5 linked regions of the Nothobranchius furzeri genome follow. The protein of the gene in region 1 interacts with the protein of each later gene in a pairwise test. Links are inferred from orthologs where the notes say so. Each region holds a gene or a part of one and is shown in the gene's direction. Other genes may lie near its edges. The genes, in order: cdc73, fibronectin type III and SPRY domain-containing protein 2, tfcp2, hsf2bp and alas1.

Region 1 (3,519 bases):
TGATTCTGACATGCTTGCGTTTAAGACGCTGCATCATCACCGTAGTATCCCCGTGCCATGCTAAGTCTGACCTACAAACGTTGCATGTCTTCGCCTGATTTAACTGAAAATGCTCCCAAACTTTAGAAGTTTTTACTTTTTTGGGGTCTCGCTGCTTCTGCCATGTTCCTCTTGCAAACACCTGCCGGCTCTCCACCGGTCTGCGCGCAACGGCGGGCGGGAGGGGAGGGGGCTTTTGGAAGAGTTGCGCAACACAACGAATCGATGACGCAATTCGTTGCCAACGCTTTTGTTAATCGATTTTCATCGAATTTATCGATTCGTTGTTGCAGCCCTATTCTACACTTTGTTTTTACACACACAATGGCAAGGATTGTCAAAGTGTGTTTGTCGTGATCATGTCAATTTAAACTGATCACAAAACACTGATTTACTTTCTTCCTTTCGTTTTCCTCATCCAATTCCCATAAATCCCTGTGTGTCCTCCTACAGCATTCCCGAAGGACAACAGACATTAATAACACAAAAAAAAGTTGACATGTTTTTAAAAACTGCGATTTTTAGCATACCGTAAATCCTCTAATATTAGCCTGTATTTAATTAACTGCTGGGTATCACATTTTGGCCGGAGTCGGCGGAGGTGAATAATGGACGGTTTTTTATTGTGGCCAGGTGGAATGTGGTAACAAGCAAGTACGGGGGACGGTTGTGTCATCCGTCTCATTTTTGATTTGCCAGCGATAGACCGCGAGGGTAACTTTAACCGTGCGGAGACGAAGAGGAGGCGAAAATTTGATATCAAGTTCAAAGAGAACGTGCTGATTATGCTGCAGAACACTCTGGGGAGCAGTAGGGGTTGTATGAACTAGTCACTAGTCGACTTCACCGCTCTATAGTGACTTGTTATGCCTGTCATCGACTAGTCGCTGTCACGTGATAATGACCGGCAAGATGCAGTCCACGGAAAAGACAGCAGCCTGCTGTCAGCAGGTGACAAGCTCCTGCGCGTCTGGAGGCAACGCGCTGTGTCAGAGCGTCGGTACCGACACCCGCCGTAAAACAGACATTTAACCAAATTGTGACCTTTACCCTCTTGCAATTTAACATTCCCCTCACCCCCATCCTAACCTTAACCAGCTTGCGCATGCAAAGCTCTGATTGTTGACGCGCTCCAGACATCTGCGTCCTGAGCACAGCCACAGTAACATTATCAAATCAGGTGTCGCCACCTCAAAAACTAATTTAACACGCGATCGTTCATGTCGGCTCATTTCCTTTTATGTTTTCTGTCTTTTATTCTTTTATTTGTGCCTGATGCGTTTCGCTGCTGTGGATCGGGGCGCATCACCTGTTTTGTCCTCGGTGACCTAACTGATGTAGCCGGCGTGCACTCCGCTGTTTTTGCGGTCTGTAGATCTTTTAGAACTGCAGTTCAAAGGTAACTCATGAGGTGAATATATATGAACCCAGGTAGCAGTTTTTCTTTAGGATTGAGAGGAGATGCAGGAAGATAATAAACAGGCAGGACAGAAAAATAGTCAAATAAAAACAAGTTAGTTTTTGTACCTGGTGGTTGCAACAAACAGACACCATTGAAGGTAATCAGAAGTAAGGAACAGAAAATGAAATAATTATTTTAATGTTTAGAGCAGCAGGAACTCCGAGAGGCTGCAGGCGCATCAGTGAGTTTGCGGCCGCTGAGCAGGGGGAGGGGGGAGAGGGCTGAAGCCGAAACTACCGTTGTCAAAAGAAATGTGTTTAACTTTGAAAATGTGGGCGCAATTTTAATTGTCTAAAACTCCAGCGAACCATTAGCTCATTTTGCTCAAATAGAAATTGAGGCCTGCCTCTAATACTGGTCCTCCTTCCAATAAAGGCCTGGAGCTTGATGAGCTTGAGTCAAATACAGACCCGGGCCTGTATTAGAGGATTTACGGTATTTTAGGTTTGACCTGTTGCTACCAGATAGGGATGTAAGAAAATATCGATGTGGCAATATATCGTGATATTTTTTCTTCTGCCACAGTAAATAATTATAATAATAATTATTATTAATATAATATTTACTCTTCGCTTCTCCCAAGATCTCCCTCCCACCTGTGACTGTACAGTAGATGAGCGTCGTAGATGGCTGCTCTCGCTGAGGGAAACAGGATCCCCCCCCCCGCCTTCCTGTTGGAGTCTCATGTTGTGTTGTCTGAAATCTGTTCCATATTTGTTGAGGTGTTTTTTTGCAGAGCAAAGCTGCCCTCCTGGTGGGAGGGTAACTCTGAAGTGCCTTTTTTTCCCTCCACCTGAACCAATCCTCATGTAACCCTCTTATCTCTATTAAGGTAGCGCAACTCAGGGTTGCGAGTGACCACAGTCACCAATTCTTGTCATGTGTCTTGCCCATGTATGTCTGATCTCTGAATTGTGTGTACTGAAACTCTAATTTCCCCCTGGGATTAATAAAGTATTGATTGGTTAATTGATTGATTGATGACGTCACATGCATCGTCATTTTTTGGACTGACGATTGGCGGTGGGAAAATTGATACAAATCGCCCGACCCTAGTAGGAAGTCTGGCTCCGTAGTGAAGCCCTTGGGAATTGTTTGTAAATCAGGTGAAGTGAAAATGTCTGATTTGTTTTCCTTTTTCTTTGTGTTTCTGACACCAGAACCGGTAAAGAAGGCCAGCCCAAGGAGTACTATACTCTGGACTCTATTTTATTCTTACTCAACAATGTGCATCTTTCACATCCATCCTACGTGCGGAGAGCTGCAGTGAGTAGAATTCTCCTTCTTGGCTTAAATAAAACAAAATATGATGTTTTATTACACTCGGGGCGACGGTGGCACAGGAGCTAAGTGCTCGTCCTGTGATCGGAAGGTTGCAGGTTCGAGTCCCGCTTAGTCTGTTGCTGTCGTTGTGCCCTTGGGCAAGACACTTAACCCACGTTGCCTGCTGGTGGTGGTCGGAGGGACCGGTGGCGCCAGTGCTCGGCAGCCTCGCCTCTGTCAGTGCGCCCCAGGGCAGCTGTGGCTACATCGTAGCTCATCCCCACCAGTGTGTGAATGTGTGTGTGAATGGGTGAATGACTGATTGTGTTGTAAAGCGCCTTGGGGGGTTCCAGGACTCTAGAAGGCGCTATATCAAATACAGGCCAATTGTCTTGAGCACACCTCATATTTACATGAGTGCACATTGTTTACAGACGGAGAACATTCCTGTTGTCAGACGACCGGATCGAAAGGGCTTACTGTCATATCTCAATGGCGAGAGCTGTAAGTAGCACCTGGAAGATTTTTGTGTTTCTGCTTGAATGAGTTAGAATCTGTGTGAAAACAGCTTCATCAGCAACAACCTCAGTATGAAGAAACAGATTTGTTCTGATCAAACATATTGGTAAACATCTAGTCTAGATTAAATGTCTTAGAAGAAGTAGATTCTCAGCCATGTCACAGCTGTTCATGGAGACCATGTTTATAAGTCCCAACACAGACCAGGGCGCTGTGGGATCAAGTACAAGCCCCGT
Region 2 (3,633 bases), on another chromosome or scaffold:
ACAAACAGGAAGTGATTGGTAGTCATTCAACTCCAATCCAGTTGGTGGCGGTAATGCACCAAATTGTTGTTTGCCAAGTGGCATAAGACCACAAATAATAAGAAGAGAGGCGGGAGTGCTCGTAAGAAATTCAAAGCAATAGTCAAAACATTAAGCATGAAACTGAGTTATCCTAGTGGCTCCAATAAGAGAAAGCAGCAGCTTGCTTCATAAAAGCTTTTATTTTCTCTTCTGAAAGTGGCGTCGTTTTTCGATGTAAACATCAGGAAGCAGAAAAGGAAAGACAATGGAAAATGTTTAAAGGGAGGAAAACACAGACCAAAATGGAAAATAGAAAAAAAAAATAACTAAGGCTAAAGCACAGGAGCACTGACAGGAAGAAGAAAGCAGAGCAAATATTGAAAGCGCTCAAAGGGAGAGAAGTACAGGAAAAAAGAGGAGGACTAATAAAAAGGGAAAATAACTCATGTCAGAAGAGGGGAGTTTTGCAAATCTAGTTAAAGGTAAGATTGTCAAAAATTTTGTGTAAAGGGCCCCATGTCTGTGTTCGCCTTGGGCCCCCAAATTGCTAAATCCGCCACTGCCCGAAGGACCCCAACACACCATTTAAGTGTTTTATATTTGAAGTTCAATAAATATTAAGAGATTTATTGACTTGTGTAATTTAAATTGCACAGTGAGTGGTAACTTCTTCACAATCAATGTGCTGCTAAAACATGTATGTGTGTGTGTGTGTGTGTGTGTATATATATATATATATATATATATATACACACACACACACACACACACATATATATATATATATATATATATATATATATGTGTGTGTGTGTGTGTGTGTGTATATATATATATATATATATATATATATATATATATATACACACACACACACACACATATATATATATATATATATATATATATATATATATACATATATATAGTCGACCATCTGCAACAAAATTCTTTAAAAAAAATCGGTATTGGCCTTAAAAAACACATCGGTCGGTCTCTGCTTTAAACACTGAATGTGGTGCACAGTCTCTGGTTATGAGTCATTCTGGAAAAGACACTCTTCCTGCTCATCTCCAACCTTCAAATTTGAGATAAATAAAAATGTTTTAGGTAGGTTTGGTTTGCCACTGAGATGATTGAATCCTTTGCTAGTGACAGAAATCTGATTTCCAACAAAGCACGTGGATTTTGACCAGCTAAAATCCAAAATGAACACGCTGGTTCTCTGAAAAACAAGTTAGTGCAGATCTGAGAAACTAGGCAGACTGTATTTTTAGCTTTTAGGACACGTGTCAGACACAAGGCGCATTTTTATGTGGCCCGCAAGATAAATTTCAAAAATATATTAAAATTGACCCGCTGGCCAATTTTACCTAAAAGACTATAACTCCCATGATGTTTTGCGGCGTTAGCACGGAGCTGAAGCGCCCCCTCCTTTGTGTTTTTTCCAACGTCTGCAGCTCCGCTGTCACGGATAAAGTAAACACTCCTCTCACTCAGAGCCGAGTTTACTCAGCTATTTGCCAACATTGAAGCCCAGAAACAGAGATTTTAACCACTCAGTAATGTGTTCACGACTGAAAGAGAAAGTTTACCAACTAACTTCCAGAGCTGATATAACTGCTGTAGTTTTTATTTTTCCTCCCCGACACATAACGTGGTAAAGCTGCTCAGACGCTCTCCATGTTCAGCAGCACAAACCTATGTGAGCACCTGTTGTCATCTAATGTTGTCATTATTATGATGAAGATGAACAAAAAAACAGGAGTCTCCTCCTCAGCTCAGATCAACCCCATGATGCAGGTATCTGGCTGGAACAGGTGAGCATCACAGTAAACCAGCGGAGCAAACTGAGCTTTAAATATGTTGGTTTTATGCTCTTTTTCTGCTCCAAAACATGAAAGTTAACAGGTGAGATGTTGCATTTTCATTTAAGATAAAATGAGTTTTATTTTGTTGTTGGCCCGTGAAAATCCCTTTATTGTTCCTCAGTGGGGAAAGCTAGACGTCACAGCAGCGATGAAACTTATTACAGGAGAAAAAAGGAGAATAAAACACAAGAAAAATGAATAAACAAGAAAACATAAATCCTGAATAGATTTTTAAAATGCTGATTATACCACAAGTAATGAATACCACTGATGTATTTTATTTAAAACTGACTTGCTCGTTTGTAATTTGGTTATTCCACATTCAGTGTTAATGCAGAAATAAGTTTGTTTCTAAATTAAAAGGTTCACAATTGCATATATGTTGATAAAGAAAATGTGCAAATTTGCCGTCACTTTTTCAAAAAATATTAAGTTTGGCCCTCGACTCCGTCCCAGTTTCATTTCAGCCCCGTGTGAATTTGAGTTTGACACCCATTTTAGAACATTTATCATTCACAAAAAAAAGAGAGAAGGCTGCTCTCTGCAAGACTAAGTCCACTAAAGGAAAGAAATATCCTGCATTAAATGTTACTTCCAAGTGTTTCTATAGCAACCATTTTTGGGAGCAAAGCTGGATGTTTTTAAGACTTAACTTGAAGCAGTGTGTCCCACAAACCCCAAATGTAATTCTATTGTGAGCATCTTTTTAATCCTTCCTTCACAGATTTTAAGTCTTGTTCATTTTGTTTCATCTGCAGCCAGTTACAATCTTGCTTGCACATAAGTCTGCATCTGCTTTCCTATTGGCAACCAACCATGAGTTGTTTAAACACTGTTTATACTAACAAACTCATAGTAATGTGGCTCTTTCTGTGAAGGCATAAATATGAGTTTCTACACAACGGCCAGAGTCCGGACTTGAGGATCACCGTGTACCCAGCACGCATCGGAGTGGCTCTCGACTACGACGGGGGAACGCTATCATTCTTCAATGCAAACCTGGGGCAACATTTGCACACCTTCCACTGTCACTTTCAAAACTATGTCCACCCTTGTTTTAGCCTGGACAGCCCAGGAGCACTCACGGTCCACAACGGCATCCAAGCTCCCGAGTACACACTCATCTAATAGAAAGCGTCTCTTCCCAACATACGGGGGAAAAAATAAACGCGCTAAACGAATGTTTCTGATGTTGACCATTATGAATGTTATTAAACAATGTTTAAACACATTTGGTAAACTCCCAACTCAAATGAATCAGTAGAGACAGTTTTAGGCGTTTTATTATAGTATTCCATGGGAACAGGCATACACCATTTTCCAAGATAAGAAAAGATTTAACTGGATTTTATATGTATTTAAACCATCTGTTGCAGCAAGATGGGATGGGACTTAAAAAGGGCCTTTTAAGTAACAAAAGATGAATAGAAAAAGAAAAAGAAAAAAGTTTGGTAATTTACATCTGAATTCACATGTTGAAACGGGAAAAGTCCACCCTGTACTTCCATAATTAAAGTGTCCGCTGATGTGCTTATAAAGCTTTTTCTCTCCTAGTCTAAAGAGAATTTGGGCATAATTTAGGGTCAGATAAAAACAAAGAAAAAGTGAAGCTTCAACAATGATGAACATAAGACAAATTAGAAAAAAAAAGAAGATGATTTGAGTTTTCTAAAAACGTCACCTGCAACACTGTCAAATGAAAAGCGACTGCAAAATGAGTTGTTTGCAAATAAATGCACAC
Region 3 (4,157 bases), on another chromosome or scaffold:
CACCACATAGCTCTACCTTGTGGAATAATAGAACCATTGTAATTAATAGGAAGACTATATTCAAAAAAGAATGGTATGACAAAAACATTTTACATGTGACAGATTTGATAGATAAAAATGGCAATTTGTTACAATTTGAATGTTTTGTCGAAAAATTTAATTTTAAAATTTAATAATCAAATCAGTAGAGCTGTTCCACTTCCTTTAAAATTCATGATTAAAAATACCTTGCTTAATTCGAATGTGGTGATTAAACTTCCTGAGTTGAAAATTGGCAAATTTAAATTAGGTGAACAAAAATGTAATAACAAAGTACTTGGAAGTATGTTAAAAATAAGTTATTCTATGATATTGAAAAATCAACAACAATAAAAATCACAGGAAAGGAAACTACATTAACAAAGCCATAGTGCAGCTATCTTAAATGGCCAATTGCACCCAAGTTGAAAGAAATTAAATTCAAAATAATACATAATATCTATCCTGCTGCCGAAACATTAAGAAAAAAGATTTAATTTTGAAGGGAATCAGTGTGTCTTTTGTATGACAGAATGTGAAACTATTGAGCACATTTTCTTCTCGTGTTCAGTAACAATTGGTTTTTGGGAGGATGTTTATCGATTATTAAATATTGAGAGAAATGATGTGTGGCTTAACAAATCTAAAGTGTTGATATACATGGATGCTCTTCCAAAAAAGATATCCAAAATGGTGAACATTATTTTCAACATGGGAAAATACCATATACATAAAACTGAATGGAAAAACAGCAAGTCTAACATTAACCATTTTAAAAATGAAATAAAACAATTTAAAACATCTCTAAAAGTATTATCAGAAAATAGCCAATCTATAACTGAGTTGTACGAAACAATGTCTGAGTTTCTTGTTGTTTAAATTACAGTCCAATGAATCAAACATGTTTGAAATATAATGTTGAAATATCAACCTCTGAACATTTTTTTGTTTGTTGATATGTTATTTTTATTTTAATTATTATTATCTTGCATCATAATTTATTTTATGGTATAGTGTCATGTGGTAATTGTTGCAAGTTCTAAATGAAATTTTTATTTTCCTCAAGTGAGGTCATTTGTATTTTCTATATTCTTCAGTACGTTGAATGTAGGTTACATTGTAAACTGAATGTATGTGAAATCGCAGATTGAAAATAAGGTAAAAAAAAAAATTAAATAAAAAAAAATTAATAATAAAACATACAAAAAAACCACTGGTAGGTGGCAGTAATGAGCACTTCCGGTTTAGATCGCGACGAAGAAGAGTGAAAACCGGAAATTACTGTTTCTCCCTTTCGACGAAGCTTAATAAACAAAACGAAGCAATATATAGCGAATATAAAGATCTGTCTTGGGCTTTGGGTCCATAGCTACGTTACGTAGAGAATAAATGGTTTGAATAAAACCCTGAAACTGTAGTAAAGTAAATACGGACTAGCATCCTCTGTACCCAAGCCGTTAGCTAGAGATGTTTATTTTAGTTCTTTCGGCCAAATAGCGCGCGACATGATGGCATGAAACCGCGGCGCTGTTACGACAGAAAAACTCATCTTCTAAAGGTAAGCTTGAATATCTAATCGGAGCACGTTAGTAACAAAAACGTTACTAAAAATCTGCATACATTTTTACACAAGTTCGCTGAATTTTAAGATGGGAGATAAAAAACGTGTTTATTGTAAAACCCATTTCCGACCGCTCTTAGTTAATCAACTTAACTAGTTTCTGTCTGAAATTTATTTTACTGAGTAAAACGAAACTTTTTTACGGTGTTGGTGTCGGGGTTCACTTGTGAGTAATCTTTCTTTCCCCCCACCTTGCCCTCGAGTCCTCTGAAGGTTGTGAGGAGCAGGTGAGCAGCGGTACTCGGTAAAACCTCCACAGCGTCACCGTCATGGCGTGGGCTCTGAAGCTGCCCCTCACGGATGAGGTGATCGAGTCCGGGCTGGCCCAAGACTTTGATGCCAGTCTCTCTGGTATCGGCCAGGAACTTGGTGCCGGAGCCTACAGTATGAGGTACACCCTGAGTTTGTTGTTTCTCCTTGTGGAGGGAATTAACGTGCGCTCTGCTAATCTGGATGCTCTAACTAAATTTTAGCCTATTAATTTATTGCCATTGTTGATATCAAGTGAATAATAAAAATCTTTCAGGTTAACGTGTAGGTTTTTGCATTCTTTCTGACATTTACTTGTTTGTGTAAGCTTTAGTCCATACGTTTAGGATTGAAATGGATTCTTCAGCTGTACGTTTGAATATCAGCCTTCTCTTACCCTGACTCTGACCTTTACTTTTGTGTTGAGCTCTTTTTCTTTGTGCCACTGGACAATATTTTTAGACGAGGGGCATCTTAAAACCTGGATCAGCTAAAATTGCTCACACATTATTAAATTGCTATGAATCACAGATGTGCACATACATCTACAGAACAAATGAATAGCTGTACGCGTTCACTGTTTGGTTCGATTACGATGGAACTGATTTATTCTAACTGCAGGATCTCTCAAAACATTAGCAAAGCTGATGATGTGGTGTATCTTATGTTTATGAGAGTGAATTAACTCCTTTTCTGGAGACAGATGTGTTTTTTGTGGTTTATTAAGAGCTATGAAACGTGTCTGGTCACTGGAGAAATTCCTGTGTTGAGGGGAGCTCTGACATGAGCACTGGAGACATTGGTATTTAGTTGTATTCCCTCCATTATAGTGAATGAGCAGCACAGTGTGTTGTGTTAGTGAAGGTCATCAAACAAGCAGAAAAAGGGGGATTTGGTTGTCTAAAGCTTTCTTGAATTTAAAGAGTTGAATGTTTCTCACTGAAGTGAAAAGATTTTAGCAGCTCACAGGCAGCACTTTTTTTACTGCTCTCTTCTCCAGCGACGTGCTCGCCCTCCCCATTTTCAAGCAGGAAGAATCCAACTTGCCTCCAGATTCTGAAAACAAGATCCTCCCTTTTCAGTATGTTCTGTGTGCACCTACCTCACCTGCTATTAAGCTACACGATGAAACCCTCACCTACCTCAACCAAGGTCAGTATCAGGATCCTCACCTTGCTACGTTTTTTTGACTTTGTGTAAAGTCAAGGTCCAAGAGAGGAGAGGTTCAGATCCTCACATGTCATTCTGTTTAGGATTGATCAGACAATTAAATCAACTTATTTCTTTTTTTTTCTTGCCTGAATGGATTTATGTAAAATTTTGTTTCCCTTTGATTTAAGTTAGTTTTAACAGTGAAACAATAAACTGAAAGTAATAGAAACTGGCTTTAATGTATATGAGCAAAGCAGTCAGTAAGTTAGAATAGAGCATCTGAATGTTTACCACATTATTCTTTTTACAGATTATGTTCTTTTATAAATAGCTATGTAGTTGTGCTTGATAACATAAAGATGCATGCCTTGCATGACTGAGGAGTGTGTCCGCGGTGTGTGACGGCCCTCTTGGAGGCGGGATCTTAATTTGAAGTTGTTTCTCTCTGCTAATGCAGGGCAGTCCTATGAAATAAGAATGCTTGACAATCAGAAAATTGGGGAACTTCCTGAAATCACTGGTAAAATGGTCAAGGTGGGAGTTATTTCAGTGTGTTTCTGTTGTTTAATGATTGCTGGACTAAATCATGTATATCACATATGTGTGTATACTCGTTTCAGAGTATTATCCGCGTGGTGTTTCACGATCGGCGGCTTCAGTACACGGAGCACCAGCAGCTGGAGGGCTGGCGCTGGAACAGGCCTGGAGACCGGATCCTTGACCTGGGTGAGCCCCGTGGAGAAAACGGCCGTTTTCATCTGGACTTTTAAAAGAATGATCTGCACGTTCACCATTGGCTGGTTTTATGATAAAAGCATGTTTATTAACAACATTGGTGATAAATTTGGTGCTCAAACAAGAACTTTTGGATCATTGCAGATATCCCCATGTCAGTGGGTATGATCGACCCCAGGGCCAACCCCACTCAGCTAAACACTGTGGAGTTCCTCTGGGATCCCTCAAAGAGAACCTCTGTTTTTATCCAGGTAGCATCAAAGTTGCAACTTTACTTTACTTTCTAACGCTTCCTTCTCTGGACTTCTGATTGATTTTAGTCTTTTAAAGGTAACTTAGTGAGTTTAACCAATTTAGTGCTGTTTTGGGAATAGTCTGGTCC
Region 4 (2,472 bases), on another chromosome or scaffold:
CAGGAAGAAAGGCTCAGCACAGATTAGTGAGGAGAAACCACCCCAGACCGTGACAACCGCAGCTTATTCTTCTTAACTGTGATTCTGTATTATTGATTTTTATGTGTTGGAATTGTCAGGATAATTGATCAGTTTGAATGGTTAAGTGGTAAAATTTCCTGGTTACAGTATTTATTCTCAGGTGTGAGGAGAGGGCAGTGAGCGGACTCAAGTGTTGTTCTCCAGAGGCCAAATCTGTTGTCAGACTGGGTTTTATATTCTGTTAATAAAATGGATTATATTTATATAGTGATTGAAATGTTGATGGGAAGGTTGTAGAAGATAAGCTCTCAATCATTTACAAAGAGGGTAAGTGGATATGATGAGGAAACCATGAATCTGTCTAGCTGGCTGCTAGCTAGAATACAGCAAATACAAAGTTGTCTCATGTTTTATCCTAATGTGGTCCTTGAAATGAAGTGTTCTTAATTCCATCCATCCATACATCCATCCATCCATCCATCCATCCATCCATACATACATAGGAAGTGTTCCATCACCCCCATATATATATATATATATATATATATATATATATATATATATATATATATATATATATATATATATATATATATATATATATATATATATATATATATGTATAGTTGGAAAACCATGTCAGGTGACTACATCTTGAAGCTCATTAAGAGAATGCCAAGAGTGTGCAAAGCAGTAATCAGAGCAAAGGGTGGCTATCTTGAAGAAAATAGAATAGAAAACATGTTTTCAGTAATTTCACCTTTTTTGGTTAAGTACATAACTCCACATGTGTTCAATTAATTTTGATGCCTTCAGTGAGAATCTACTGATGTAAATGGTCATGAAAATAAAGAAAACACATTGAATGAGAAGGTGTGTCCAAACCTTTGGGCTGTATTATATATTTATAATATATTTAGTTTAATTAGCTAAAGAGTCCTGGCAGATGCACCCTGTTTTCAGTTTAACATGATTTTAACGAGCTTCAAATGCATTTCAACAACACTTGTAAGTATTTCCTGACTATTAGAACCTATATCTTTAGTAACTTAACTATAATCTGTGACTCGTGTATATCGGCTTTAGTCCCTGGTGTTATTCTGAATAAACCATACTAATGCATGTAGCAGCCCCTCTACTGTTGGCACAGAGTAATATTGTGGCTTTGCTGCAGGTTGATGCTGATGATCTTGTATAATGTCAGCATCAGCATTAGAGGACTGAAGTACATCAGTGAGAACAAACGACTCGTTCAGCTTATCTGGACCCTGCTTGAAGGTGAGGAGCCGTTGTTACACACGTCCACGTGATGAAAACAAGATAAACAGTTAAATTTGATGTGTTTGAAAACAGGAAGTGTTCCATCAGTTTGATATTATTTAAATAAGCACCTGAACATATATTTATTGGTAAAGTCAGTAGGTTTGTATTAGATCTCTGCTTCAGACTAAATTAGGGTTTTTATCTGTCAGATGGACACTGGGAGGTGTGCCTCCACTGTCTGCGCCTCCTGCAGTCAGTGCTTCTAGAGGAGGACATGCTGCTCCCCCTGGGCTCTTTTCTGCTGGATCCAGAGCTCCAGGCTCGCGTCAGCCAGCTCACTTCCAGTGTTCAGCCCAGCCTTAGAGCCACAGCTCAGCAGACTCTTGAGGACCTGCAGGCCCTTCAGCTGGCACACCGCTCCCAATGAGCAGACTTGATCTAATTACTTCTGGTTCTGGACCTGGTGAGGTCAACAGAACCGGGTCCGGTCTTCTACCAGTTAGAGCCCCTTCATGTTAGGTTTCTGTGTTGCCATGGTGAAGAGAACATATCTCTCTACACATGTTCATATTTTGCAAAGACAACAAAAGAAGAGACTCGTGTCTTAGCTATTAAAGTGTTTTATTTTAATACGAATGTTGTGATACTGTTAGATTTTAAAATATTAAAGATGATGTTCACACTCTCATAGCTTCGTGTTGGAACTTTGTCGATTTTGTGTTTGTTCTGTGTTGCCAGCGTGGAAAGATATCGTCTGAAAAAACATTTAGGACAACAGCCAATCCTTGTGGACATCCAATTCAGACTGCCGTACTCAGAGAAATGAAAAAAAGAGCTCCATCTCAGGCCTGAGTTTCCAGGTTAAAGTTCATGGCAGGACAACTGGAAAGAGACTGAACAAGGATATTTGTTTGGATGGGTTGCAGGAGAAATCCTCTGGTTTCAAAAACTACTTGATAGCAGGAATTTGCTTCTGAATGACTTCAGGAGCAATGTCCTTTGGACACATTGGACCGAAGTGAAGATTTTACCAATATGTTGGTGGACACCAGTCAGAGCAAGTATCTCATCTCAGCTTCAAGCGAGGTGGTGGTGGGACCTTAAAGGAAATGAGCATAAAAGTAGTGTCTGGTGCATAACATAGTCAACAACGATGATTATTTATAAAAGTAAAAGTAACTGATCAAT
Region 5 (4,168 bases), on another chromosome or scaffold:
AGCTGCTTCAATTTCCTTAGCAGGAATCAGCCATTATGACTCGATCTAATTTCTGACTCAGAGAAACAATTTTTACAATTCATGTGTAACGGCTTAAGAAGAACTGGAGGGGGCAGCAGAGCACAGTAAATATTACCACACTTCAGGTGAGGCAAAAGTAAATTAAAATATATAATCAGCTAACGTTTATTTCTTTTTAAAACCGATTTTTTTAAAAAAGGTCACAAAAACCCAGGGTGGTGTTGTTACAATATTCTTATCCTTAATTTATTTATACCGCTATTTCTTGCTTGCCACGTGTGTGTGTGTGTGTGTGTGTGTGTGTGTGTGTGTGTGTGTGTGTGTGTGTGTGTGTGTGTGTGTGTGTGTGTGTGTTTGTCCTCACAAATGTGAAATTTATTCAATGAGTGCAAAGCACTGAAGTAAAGTTGGTGTGAGGTCACCATCAAATATAAATTGGTGGTCCTAGTCAAATAGCAGTGGCAACTATGATTTGCTTTACATGTAAATTTCATTTTAACCTCCAAAAAGTAGCTCTTTTACGATAGTGATTAACTTTCACCAGTGTTTCTAAATGGTTATATATCAGTTGTTGGACATGAAATCAATACTGGATAAGACAGACAAAATAATACTAAAATATTCAGATTCAGGTACTGTTTTTGATTAAAATACTACATGACTGTTATTATGAAAGCAAGCTGAATCATAAAACCACTTAAATTTAACAAGTTGTATTTTGCAACAAACTAAAACTATATAAACATAATTGTAATTGTATATCTCCATGTTATCTGACATCTTTGGAAACAAAACAAAAAAATCACTGTTTAAACAATGTTTTGATAATGATGGCCTGGTGATATGAACAGCCTTTTGGATAATTACGGTGAACATTATAACGTTTCTAGAGCCAAAAGACTGGTGATAATTGGGTACTGTGATAATTAAACTGTATTGCCTACTTAAAATTTTCAACAATAAGGAAAATACAGGGAAGGTTGCCTTGCTGGAGGGGCACGTTTAAAAACAAAAATAAAAATAAAAATAAAAAAATAATTCCAAACCATTGCTTCAAAACTTAGTGTGTGGTTATAACAATAGCTTAGTGGCAGTATTAATATATCATGAGGGTAGGATAAATGTATTTTTCAACTTTATTGAAAATTACTATATCTATATTTACTATTTATATCTATATTTGTTACTATTTACTACACTATCTATATTTTATATACGTTATCAATATACTACATCAATGGATTACAAGAAAATAATCTCGCGAGAATATGACGTAGGGGTCGGTGGGAGTGTGAGGTATTATAAACCCTGGAACGTCGCCGTCCTTTTCGTTCGTCCTCAGTGCAGGATAACGAAGCACTGACAATCTACTCTCTATAAGGAAAACAAGTACATTATTTTCAGGTCACATCTGTGGAACGACCTTGTTTTTATCTTGTTCATCACACGGCATAGCAGGATTATACGACCTGGTGTTAATTTTAAAGGTAGGTTTATTAATGTTCTAACCTCATAGGCGGCGGCTTTAGCATTTTAGCTAACATTGAGCGAGGTCAACCTTCAGAGAGCACAGGAAGATCTTTAAATATGATTCAACTTTATGCTTTCTAAAAGCATTACGTTCAAAAGTTATTATTATTTTGTTAACACCAGGTACTTTACATGGCAGTAATGTAACTATATTTAACACAAATTATATTTATTTCAGGTTGCGAACGGGTTTCTGAGTAAAACCACGAGATTTTACCAGCTTTCACTCTTAATGTAGTCTATAAATTGATATTTCTATCTATTTACAAACATTTTATTAGCCTTATAAACTTTATCTTTTGGATGAAACTGTACACAAGTTTTGGACTTTGTCCTGGAATGTGGAAATCTGACATCAACTGGGAAGGAGTCCCTGGGAGAGGAAGGGTTTTTAGGAATTGTGTAAAACTTTCCCCTTTGTTTTGTAAGTACACAGACACTTGTTAGAATGAGTAAAGAAAGAGGTGACTGGCAAGTGATTATTTTCCTAGGTGTGAAGGTGCAACACAGATCCTTTTTCATGGGTATTTTTAATTCTTGACATGGTCATTTAGAGTTTTAACATGAAAGGTTTCTGGTTTTTAAGACAAAACAAACCTTAATTTGACGTCAAAGGTTTATCAAAGACCTTGACAGTAGTGTGACTTATATTTTACAGAACAAGGCCCATGTATACGACTATTTCCAGAACTCCATTTTTAGATAGTGTGACCTATATTGGCTATTGAGCTAACTAATATTTAATATATTATTGTTTTATTTCTTCTAGCTCTTTTAACAAGCACACCACTTCTCATAATGGATGTGATCATACGCCGTTGCCCGTTCTTGGCTGGTATGCCTCAGGCCTTCTTCCAACAATCCAAAAAGTCTCTGGTCACTTATGCTCAACGCTGCCCCATCATGATGGAGCTGGCTTCGAAACCCATGGCCCCTTCAATGGCTCGAGCACTTTGCTCTTCAACTTCTTATCATCAGACTGACACCAAGGTTGCAACTGATGGTGAGTGTGATAAAGGACAAATGTTTAAATTCTCTATTTGAAAAACAAATGTACAGCTGTGTAGCATGCTGGTTTTTAACCCGCTGGAGGCAGGCGTTGCGGATTTGCAACAGTTAAAACCTACCTACCTGGTTACTTCACATACATATTTCATGAGCATTTTTTAGCTCAGAAGTACCCGTGAATGACTTAGTTGTTTGTCCTTTTATCAAAACTTATTTTGAGCCTGAGAGGGTTATCTGTACATGTACACATTTTTCCACCTGCAGCCCCTAAACAGGAAGTGGAGCCTAAGCTGCCTGCTGGTCATCCCGTGGCTCCTGCAGGTCAAGTGGTGGCCTCCAAATGTCCTTTCCTGACTGCTGAAATGAACCAGAAGTACAGCGGTGTGGTCCGCCAGGTTACCATGGAGTTCCAAGAGGATGTAGAGGAAGTACGCACTGTCCAGAAAGGTAACTTCTGGTATTTATTTATAACATTTTAGTTCAACAGGCTGTGTATTAACACTGTTCTTTTTATGTTCAGAGGTGTCACCTGCCCAGGTGAAGCAGCCATCCTTGACCAGTACCAGTAAAGCTGAGGAGCAAAGGAATTTGATGAAGACTCTCCTAAAGCAGCGTCCAAAGAGGGTCACCCACCTGCTGCAGGACAACTTGTTCGGCAGAAGTATGGTGTTTTTTTTTTTGTTTTTTTTTTTTGCAGGCCAAGTCTTGCGTATTATCCAGTTTCCTTATTGATCAACTTTCTGTTGCAACAAAGTTGAGCATGTTTCACCTTCCTGTCCTGTCACAGTGTCCCGCTTCGAGTATGATGATTTTTTTGAGAAGAAGATTGAAGAGAAGAAGAGCGACCACACATATCGTGTGTTTAAAACTGTGAACCGCTTGGCCACCGAATTCCCGATGGCTGATGACTTCACTGGCTCTCTGGAGGAGAAACGGGAGGTGTCTGTTTGGTGCAGCAACGACTACCTGGGCATGAGTCGACACCCTCGAGTTGCTCAATCCATCATGTAAGTAATAAAGTATTAGTTAGCATTGGGGATAGACCAATATATCATTCTACCAACACATCAGGGTTTAAAACATTTTTGTCAAATTGGCGAACCAAACCGAGCTCATGGAGCAGGGCACCACGCATCTCATTGTCTAATCATTTTTATTTTTGTGGCGCTGTTACGACCGACTTGATCAGCGTTCGGTGTTCTAGTGGTGCTTTTGAGACCAGAAACATTCAGGTGTCCCACGCTGATCAGTCAGCCTAGTCAAAACTAATAAATACACCTGAAAACAATTCTGACCTTCAGTTTACCACCGCCTTATTAGAGTAACACCTTTTAATGTTTTGAAGGTGTGACGTCTTTTCCTGTCATGTTCCCAAATATTACTGCACATTATACAGATTTGTTTATTTTATTAATATTGAGAGTCACAATTTCAAACTGTCGGTGCTCATTTGTGGTATTTTCCATGAATTGTTGTTATATGAGCATAGAGTTTATTTATTCGAGTAGGTGTAGTTAACATTTCCTTTACACAATTTGAAACGTTTTCAAAAGAGGAGGAATATGTGTAGAAATCGGCCAAAATCACCATCGCACATCGTCCATTGGCT

What was found.
Region 2: the proteins of cdc73 (region 1) and fibronectin type III and SPRY domain-containing protein 2 interact in binary tests that used the Homo sapiens proteins (3 or more experiments, as listed by UniProt). The two-hybrid records come from large-scale screens. The link is inferred for Nothobranchius furzeri from reciprocal best matches to the Homo sapiens genes CDC73 and FSD2.
Region 3: the proteins of cdc73 (region 1) and tfcp2 interact in binary tests that used the Homo sapiens proteins (3 or more experiments, as listed by UniProt). The two-hybrid records come from large-scale screens. The link is inferred for Nothobranchius furzeri from reciprocal best matches to the Homo sapiens genes CDC73 and TFCP2.
Region 4: the proteins of cdc73 (region 1) and hsf2bp interact in binary tests that used the Homo sapiens proteins (3 or more experiments, as listed by UniProt). The link is inferred for Nothobranchius furzeri from reciprocal best matches to the Homo sapiens genes CDC73 and HSF2BP.
Region 5: the proteins of cdc73 (region 1) and alas1 interact in a two-hybrid assay, tested with the Homo sapiens proteins (3 studies listed by BioGRID and IntAct). The two-hybrid records come from large-scale screens. The link is inferred for Nothobranchius furzeri from reciprocal best matches to the Homo sapiens genes CDC73 and ALAS1.

Annotation. Positions count from the first base shown.
Region 1 is NC_091751.1:69,208,846-69,212,364, forward strand, and holds part of cdc73 (parafibromin), read left to right. Parts: intron 1-2,661; coding exon 2,662-2,767; intron 2,768-3,198; coding exon 3,199-3,268; intron 3,269-3,519.
Region 2 is NC_091749.1:41,535,961-41,539,593, forward strand, and holds the end of fibronectin type III and SPRY domain-containing protein 2, read left to right. Parts: intron 1-2,770; coding exon 2,771-3,020; 3' UTR 3,021-3,123; downstream 3,124-3,633.
Region 3 is NC_091755.1:37,313,280-37,317,436, forward strand, and holds the start of tfcp2 (transcription factor CP2), read left to right. Parts: upstream 1-1,349; 5' UTR 1,350-1,576; intron 1,577-1,842; 5' UTR 1,843-1,908; coding exon 1,909-2,030; intron 2,031-2,888; coding exon 2,889-3,040; intron 3,041-3,497; coding exon 3,498-3,574; intron 3,575-3,660; coding exon 3,661-3,766; intron 3,767-3,919; coding exon 3,920-4,026; intron 4,027-4,157.
Region 4 is NC_091743.1:81,539,860-81,542,331, reverse strand, and holds the end of hsf2bp (heat shock factor 2-binding protein), read left to right. Parts: intron 1-1,195; coding exon 1,196-1,299; intron 1,300-1,493; coding exon 1,494-1,711; 3' UTR 1,712-1,969; downstream 1,970-2,472. UniProt on the Homo sapiens protein: Meiotic recombination factor component of recombination bridges involved in meiotic double-strand break repair.
Region 5 is NC_091743.1:62,457,653-62,461,820, forward strand, and holds the start of alas1 (5-aminolevulinate synthase, non-specific, mitochondrial), read left to right. Parts: upstream 1-1,364; 5' UTR 1,365-1,508; intron 1,509-2,320; 5' UTR 2,321-2,349; coding exon 2,350-2,554; intron 2,555-2,823; coding exon 2,824-3,006; intron 3,007-3,079; coding exon 3,080-3,220; intron 3,221-3,346; coding exon 3,347-3,566; intron 3,567-4,168.